Elephas maximus indicus: one gene and its partner. The protein of the gene in region 1 purifies or fractionates together with the protein of each later gene. This does not show direct contact. Links are inferred from orthologs where the notes say so. Each region holds a gene or a part of one and is shown in the gene's direction. Other genes may lie near its edges.

What was found. The genes of interacting proteins can lie anywhere in the genome.
Region 2: the proteins of WDR44 (region 1) and VAPB purify together in Homo sapiens (affinity purification with mass spectrometry; 4 studies listed by BioGRID and IntAct, counting the BioPlex papers as one, with this or other methods). This does not show direct contact. The link is inferred for Elephas maximus indicus from reciprocal best matches to the Homo sapiens genes WDR44 and VAPB.

What each region holds. Positions count from the first base shown.
Region 1 is NC_064846.1:38,685,346-38,689,093, reverse strand, and holds the start of WDR44 (WD repeat-containing protein 44), read left to right. Parts: upstream 1-1,376; 5' UTR 1,377-1,806; coding exon 1,807-1,883; intron 1,884-3,748. UniProt on the Homo sapiens protein: Downstream effector for Rab11 which regulates Rab11 intracellular membrane trafficking functions such as endocytic recycling, intracellular ciliogenesis and protein export.
Region 2 is NC_064843.1:10,890,895-10,894,642, reverse strand, and holds the start of VAPB (vesicle-associated membrane protein-associated protein B/C), read left to right. Parts: upstream 1-1,083; 5' UTR 1,084-1,315; coding exon 1,316-1,373; intron 1,374-3,748. UniProt on the Homo sapiens protein: Endoplasmic reticulum (ER)-anchored protein that mediates the formation of contact sites between the ER and endosomes via interaction with FFAT motif-containing proteins such as STARD3 or WDR44.

The sequences.
Region 1 (3,748 bases):
ATAAATATTTTTCTATCAATCCACAAAACCAACAGCAATCAAATACAATCTATAATTAAATGCCAACCCATGTCCCTGGCCCCACTCATCTTTTCTGCCGCCATTTTGAGTAACAGCTGAGGCTGCGCAAATCGCTCAAAGTGGCTGACAGCCGTGATGTCAGTGGGAGAAATAATTGTGCTTCACGATCATAAGGAAAGTTAATGTAATCATTTTGAAAGTCAATGCCCCGTTTAAGAAAGAACATCTTGGTCTTTTAAAAAGTACCTTTTTATTTTCATCACTGGACATTGGTCAGTGGAGGAGCACAATTAAGTTAACTAGGTGTTAGCCTTGCAACTGTTTTCTGCTCAGTACATTAGTTACCATTTGACTGACCCACATCTTGGGCGTATGTAAAAATTTCTCTCACATTAAGTGTGGGCAGCGACAGATATTTGTAGAAAAAAAAGTAACTGGAGGCCTTATACTGGCCAAACCCGTTGCCGTCGAGTCAGACTCATAGCGACCCTACAGGACAGGGAAGAAATGCCCCATACGGTTCCCAAGGAGTGCCTGGTGGATCCGAACCGCTAACCTTTTGGTTAGCAGCCATAGTTCTCAACCACTATGCTACCAGGGTTTCCTATACTGGCCCAGCTCCAGCAATAAACTCATCCTAACTCCGTGGAACGGGCACACTCCTCGCGTGTCTCTCATGAATCTTATCCTCTGGCCGGCAGGACTGTATCTAGGGATCTCAGTTAGAGATCTTGTAGTAGATACCACCAAAACTCGTTGCCGTCGAGTCCGTTCCGACTCATAGAGACCCTATAGGACAGAGCAGAACTGCCCCATAGAGTTCCCAAGAAGCGCCTGGTGGATTCAAACTGCCGACTTAACCACTACACCACCAGGGTTTCCAGCGAGATATTCACGTAACGCAAGAGGTGGTGGCCCTGCCTACGCCCCAAGGTGGGATCTTCCGGGCTTGAATTAAGACAATGTAAATGCAAACCAAAAAGGCCACGACAACATTTCCTCATATATAAGAGAAATTTTAAAAACAGACTCAAAATCATCCCTCTTGAAATGCCTCCCTTTGGAACTGCTGAGTAAGTACGTAAAGCAACTCCGCAAAGCCCTACCAACATCGGTGCACACGCCCTCAGAACCCGGGCACCACGTTGCTCCTGCGCAAGTTCTAGACTCCTCCCTTATTGAGGCTCACCACCTCCCTTCCGGGCTACTTCCGGCCCCTCCGAACGCCCTCAACGCGCTTGGGCCGTTTTGATAGGCTTCTGGGGCAAAAGTAATCCGAGCGTTGCCTCTCAGAACTGCCCCCGCCTCCTCTTCGCCACGCCCACGCCTTACCGTCCACCTCCCGAAATCTCGCGATGGTAGGTGCGCGTCGGTGTTTTGCGGACAACCAGCTCTCCCAGCTGCTGTAATTGCGGCTGCGGGAGAAATTGGAGCTGCTGTCGCCGGCGCGCCCGCCCTCCCCCACGGAGAAGAGCCACCGCCTCTTCTTTCGTTCTCCTTGTACACCTAGCGCCAGGAGCGGCGGCGGCGGCGGCGGCAGCAGTAGTCCCCGGACCACCGCCGCCTCCTCAGGCGGACGCTCTCCGGGTCATTCCCGCAGCCCGGCAGCTGAGGGCGGCCCTCTGTCCCTAACCGACTCTTCACTCCAGATTTTCTGCTCCCTTCTCATCCTTGCCCGGGACCCACCTCCCCAGTCTCGCCGGGGTGGAGGACGGCAAGGAGGAGACGAGAGTCACCCTCTCTTCAGGCGGCGCCGGCCCCCTCACCCGCGGGTGTGTCCTATAAATGGCGTCGGAGAGCGACACCGAGGAATTCTACGATGCCCCTGAAGATGTGCACCTAGGGGGCGGCTACCCCTTAACGTAAGTGATTGGAGTTACGGCTCAGAAGCCGAGCATCCCCGTTTCCTGGCTGCTTCTGTGCCTCATATCTCTCTCAGGTCCCGCTGCTTCCCACAATCACACTCCGGCACTTCAGACCTCAGACGTGGGGCTCCTTAGGGAGGGTGATGCAGGGGAGGGGGAGTTACCCACCTGAGTAACCGCGCCCTCCCTCCTCTCCCTGATGAACGGCCCCAGGGGCTCACTCGGAGCCCTTTTCTTGGCTTGCCCTGCTTTTTGCGAGGTGAGACAGCTGACGTGCTTGAGAGCCAGCGATTTGTATTTGCAGGGTTTGGGGTTTACCTTTCAAACGTCCGTTTTGGCCTCGGAGACCATAGATTAAAGGGGCAGTAGCAGGAGTAATTGCGCTTCACATTTTTTTTTTTTCCTTCCTTTTACGGCTGACTTACCTATTCGTTTCAGAGGTAGCTGTAACTCTCCCCTATTTGCTGTCCTCTTTTCCTTGCAGAGGAAGAAAAGGAGTGGAGGAAAGGTTGGGTATTTACTTAGTAAAGTCCTCCAGCTGATGTACTCTAGATCAGCAGTGTGTTATTAAAATAGTACCTTACCGTGAGGCAAAGGAAATCGAAGACAAGGTCCTTATCGTTAGGAAGAATGCGGTCTATATGGGTAGCCGGAAAATGTACACAACCGACTACAGACAAACAAACAAGTGCTGAGTAATCTGGTGGTTGGTAGGAGAGCCACAGCTTTGTGCTCTTTATCTAATTCTGCAAGATGTTTTAGTTTACTTTTGATTAACATGAGAGACCCTGAGTAGGAAGTACAGTAGTTGGAATGCTTCGCTTGACTAGGATTTCTGGTAACCCACTCTTTCACTTTTCAAAGTTGAAATAATGTTGAAAGCGATTTCGCTGAACTTTTATATGGACTTGTGTGGTACTAGAGGCAATGAAATATATTTTCATGCTGTAAGAGCTTGAGAATTGGAAAAATTTGTATTTTAACGTAAGGCACTAATATGGTTCCAGGAGTTCACCTGCCTTCAATTCTCCTGCTTCCTTGCGGAAGAAAAGACCCTGTTTGATGCAAATAAAGTTGTCCCTACATTCTAGAAGTAGGTTCTAAAATCTAATGTATGTGACATAATCTAGACCAAGAAAAATTATCAAAGCGGTCATAAATGTGCATTGGTAGATTACAGATGTGTGTGTAGCCACCAACCTTCATATTATGTTGGATTTTTGGGTGATTTTGAGATCACTTTCGCCACCCTTGAGATGACACTGAATCTCCTTCAGGTTCAACATCAGACAAGTTCATGGCGAGATGGTAGAGGATAGAAAATACATTTGGTTTCAGTGTTGCTGCCTTCAAATTAAATTTTGTTTTTGTGGTTTCCAAAACTCTCAAAAGTAATGAACTGTTAATTCAGGTTAAATGATTGACTTTTGTGTGTATGTATGTGAGATGGAGGGAGAGGAGGAAACAACAGTTTACTTGTTGTAATCAGTTTAGAGCAACATAGATATTGTTCCTTTACGTTGAGTAAAATAAGTTTAATTTTGAATGACAATTACATCCGGAGCTGTGTGAATTGCCTAGTCCAGTGCCTGGCACAAAGAGAGTACTCCAACATTCCTTTCTCCTTCCTTTCTTGGAATTAGCAAATTTATTAACTTCACACAGTGCTTACTTTGTAAGTATCCAGAACTTGGAGCTATTTAATTTATCTAAACTGGATGAGTCATTTTGATAGAATTGATAGTCACTTCTTCCCCAGTGGGATAATACAAGTTCTCAAGGACTTGGATCCTTTGATGCTGGGTGAAAAGTAAAGTGTGTTGGGACCCGGCTTTCTAATTTTAATTCTAACCTGCCCAAAT
Region 2 (3,748 bases), on another chromosome or scaffold:
ATTTCAAGCATACAAAAAAGTAGGAAGAATAGTACAAACAACACCCATGTACCTGCCGTGTAGGTTCAACCAGCTTCTTCTATGTGTGTGTGTACCAGACACCACTTGCTGTGAATCGACTCCGACTCACAGTGACACCATGTGTGTCAGAGAACCATGCTCCACAGAGTTTTCAGTGGCTGATTTTTCAGAAGTAGATTGCCAGGTCTTTCTTCTGAATGTATAAGACAGTAATAAGAACACACATTTTATGTAGCAAACATTCTGTAATAAAATACAAGTTCGATGGCAATAATGATGCAGAATGTTCCACTTTGAGGTCAAGCTGATCCCAGCAATTTTTAAACCTATATTTACGTGTATGGTTATTTAATGAAAGGACGTCGCTCCACTAGGCTGTACTATGAAGCAAGAGGGTAGGAACTACGTCAACTTTCCTGACCTTTGTATCTCTAAATATTTGTTGCATAAATAGCGTCTATTAGCAAAGATACAGCACAGTGCTTGGGACATCATAAACATTCAGTGTATAAAAGCTTTTATTTATTATAGTGGCTGTTATTACTGAAAGCATTCAGCTGTCTGGCACAAAATAAGCAAGCAATAATTGGTCGTTTATTATATTTATAATTATTAGTTACGATACGTTACAGCGCCTAGCACGTATCATTCACTCATAAACATCATGTTTATAATAATAAGATGAATAAATAGTACTTTCATTATTGCTCAAAGCCTTTAACAGTGCCTGGCACTAAATAGGCAAGGGAAAAGTGGAGTTTATCCTTATTAATTATCATTATTGAATAGAGCACTTAACGCAACAGCCGGCCCCCAAAAGGCCCTTAAAAAATGAATAGTCTTCACCCAGACTGTCATTATTTCTGGGCAGCCCGGAGCGGCCCCGCCTCCAGGGCTGCACGAAGCCCCGCCCCTTGCTGCATGGCAGCCCCGCCCCCCTGCGCCTGCGCACTGCTGTAGGGGAGGGCTCCGCCCGCAGCCTCCCTCTCCCGCCCCTGGAGCCGGCGCAGGGTGCCGCTTCCCGCCGCGTGCGTGCGTCGCTGCGTGCGTGCGTGCGTGCGTGCGTGCCGTCAGCTCGCCGGGCACCGCGGCCTCGCCCTCGCCCTCTGCCCCTGCGCCTGCACCGCGTAGGTCGCCCCCGCCCCCACGCACCCCGTCGCGACCCCCGCCAGCGCCCCGCTGGCCTGTTTTTTTTTTTTTTTTTTTAATTTAAAGGGGGCGCAGCATTAACGCTTCCCGCCTCAGTTGACTTCTCAGGGGTCTCCCCACCAAAGGTGCCGCGCCGCCGAGGAACATGGCGAAGGTGGAGCAGGTCCTGAGCCTCGAGCCACAGCACGAGCTCAAATTCCGAGGTAAGCCGCGAAGGCCCCCGGGCCGGCCGCCATGTTCCGGCCAGGCCCGGCCGGCGCCCCGCGTGGGCTGCGCGGCCCCACCCCAGTTCTGGGGGTGCAGGCCCGGCGCCCCCACAGCTGTCAGGAGCCGCCTGGGCCGGAGAGGCCGCGCGCGGGGGCCCAGGCTGCTTTGCCGCCCCGGCCTCTCGGGGCGCCTCGCCTTCGAGGCACTTGTCACAGTTGTCATTGTCACTGTTATCGCCTAGTTTAGTTTGTGGTCTGCTCTGGAGTGTAAGCACTCTTCACGAGATTGACCTCCTAGGTCTCAGCCCGGATGTCCCCAGCTGGTGACCCAGCTCTCTGTTCTGTGGTCTGCAAGGCACTGGTCACCATCCAAACTGCCCGCTAACTAACTTGTTTTCTGTCTTCAATGCTAGAAGGGAAACTCCATGAGGACAGGATTTGTCATTCATCCCCTGTGCACTCGTTAGGCGGCCAGTCGCATGCTGAGCAAATGAATGAAAGGAACTTCCGCAGGAGTTGTGATAGGACATGGCCCAACTTTCTTTCTAGTGTCTTTTTGCTCGCTTATGTCCTGCAGCTGGGGCAGTGCTGACAGAATGGTTGGATCCGATTTCTCCCCAAGGCTGCCTGGAGATGGAGCTGAGTAGCACGTGAGTTTGTGGCGAGCCAGAGCCTCGGTTCCTAGGTGCAACTTTCGTCTTGCTCACTTGTACCTTTACATTTCTTAGCTTTTTTTGGACTGTTTTCGCCACCAGAATACAAGCACGTGAGACAACAGGCACCTTGTCTGACTTGCTCATAGATTCTTTCCGCATGTGTTGAGCTTTTAATGGTGTGGTGGGCGTGTGCTTGGCACTGGGAGACAGCGGTAAACAAGATGGACAAGGTCCCTGCTCTCAGAGAGCTTACATTCTAACTAAGGGAGACAAACACACCAGCAAACAAACTCACAGGATCATTGTGGATTATGTTAAGTGCTGTGAAGGAAATAAAACGGGCTGACCTGTTGGAGGGACACTTTAGATTGAACAGCCAGGCACCACTATATCACCAGCACCTGGCCCACAGTAGGTACTGAATAGGTGTTTTTGGAATGAATGCTGGCCATAAGCACCCAGTGACTATGCACTGTTAGGAAGCAGTGTAGGGTGACTAGCCCAGAGTTACCCAGTTGGCAAGCGGCACATTCAAACCCAGACTTCAAAGCCTGCATTTTTCATTGTTATGCTGTGTGACCCCTGGGAAATACTCCAGAACTGTGACTGTCACTTTGCCTCCTAGGTACACAATCTGAAATGACTCCAAATGGACCTGAAGGTTTTCCAGTTAAGATGAAAACAGCAAAGCAAAACACAAAAACCTAGCACAGGTCACAATTCTGTGACAGTACTTTGGTTTGCATGATGTTCTCATGGCCTTCTCCTGGAGGAGCTGGGCTGGGGAAGGAATCTGAGTGCCTGAGTGGATGTGGTGAGAGATGGTTTCCACTTGAGTCGTCTGAAGTTCTCTGTCCCGGGAAGCCTGACTCGGTTGCTCCTGTGACTTGGTGTGTTCATTCGTTTAGTCCACAAACACTTACTGAGCGCCTACTATGTGTCAGGTGCGAGGAGAAGCTGAGTCACATGAGATGTACTTCTTGCATTGGCCCCTAGCTCACCACCCCAGTACCTAAGTTTAGGGAAGGGGTCAGCTGAGCCATTTGATAAGGAGGTCAACTCCTAGAAGAGGTATCATTTGAGCTGAGTTACAGAAGTCGAATGGAAGTAGGCTAAAAGAAGTGGGTGGGGACCATTTGAGGTAGAGGGAATTGCATATACAAGGTGCAAAGGCTGGGATGACTGGACCCCTTTGGAGTGCTGCTAGTAGTTCTGAATGATAGCTGCAGAGAGCATTTGTTGGAGGTGCAGGGCCAAGTGGAGATGAAGCTGGAGAGTGGAAAGAAGTTGGACATAGCGGTGTTCCAGTTACCCTCATGGGCCTCTCGTCAGACAGTCCTCCCTGGATTGACCCCCAGCGGTTCCAAGCCCCCACCCCAGCACCAACACTGCACCAATGCGATGTTATGGAAAGAGGCACCGATTTGAGAAAGTGCAAGTTCCAGTTCTTTTGACTTTGGGCGGACCTCTTCACTTGCCAAAATCTGGAACTACTTTTCGTCAATAGGGATGATGCGCACGTCCTACAGAAAGCTTCGTTGTTTAGAAACAGTTATCTGTGGCCGTCCAGTGCTTTGTAAATACAGAGATTGGTGATTGCATCTAGACAACTGGTTTCATGACTTCATCTTTTCAGTGCTGTTATGACTGTTCAGTGCTTTATAAATGCAGATATTGGTGGTTGTATCTAGACACCTGGTTTCATGACTTCACCTT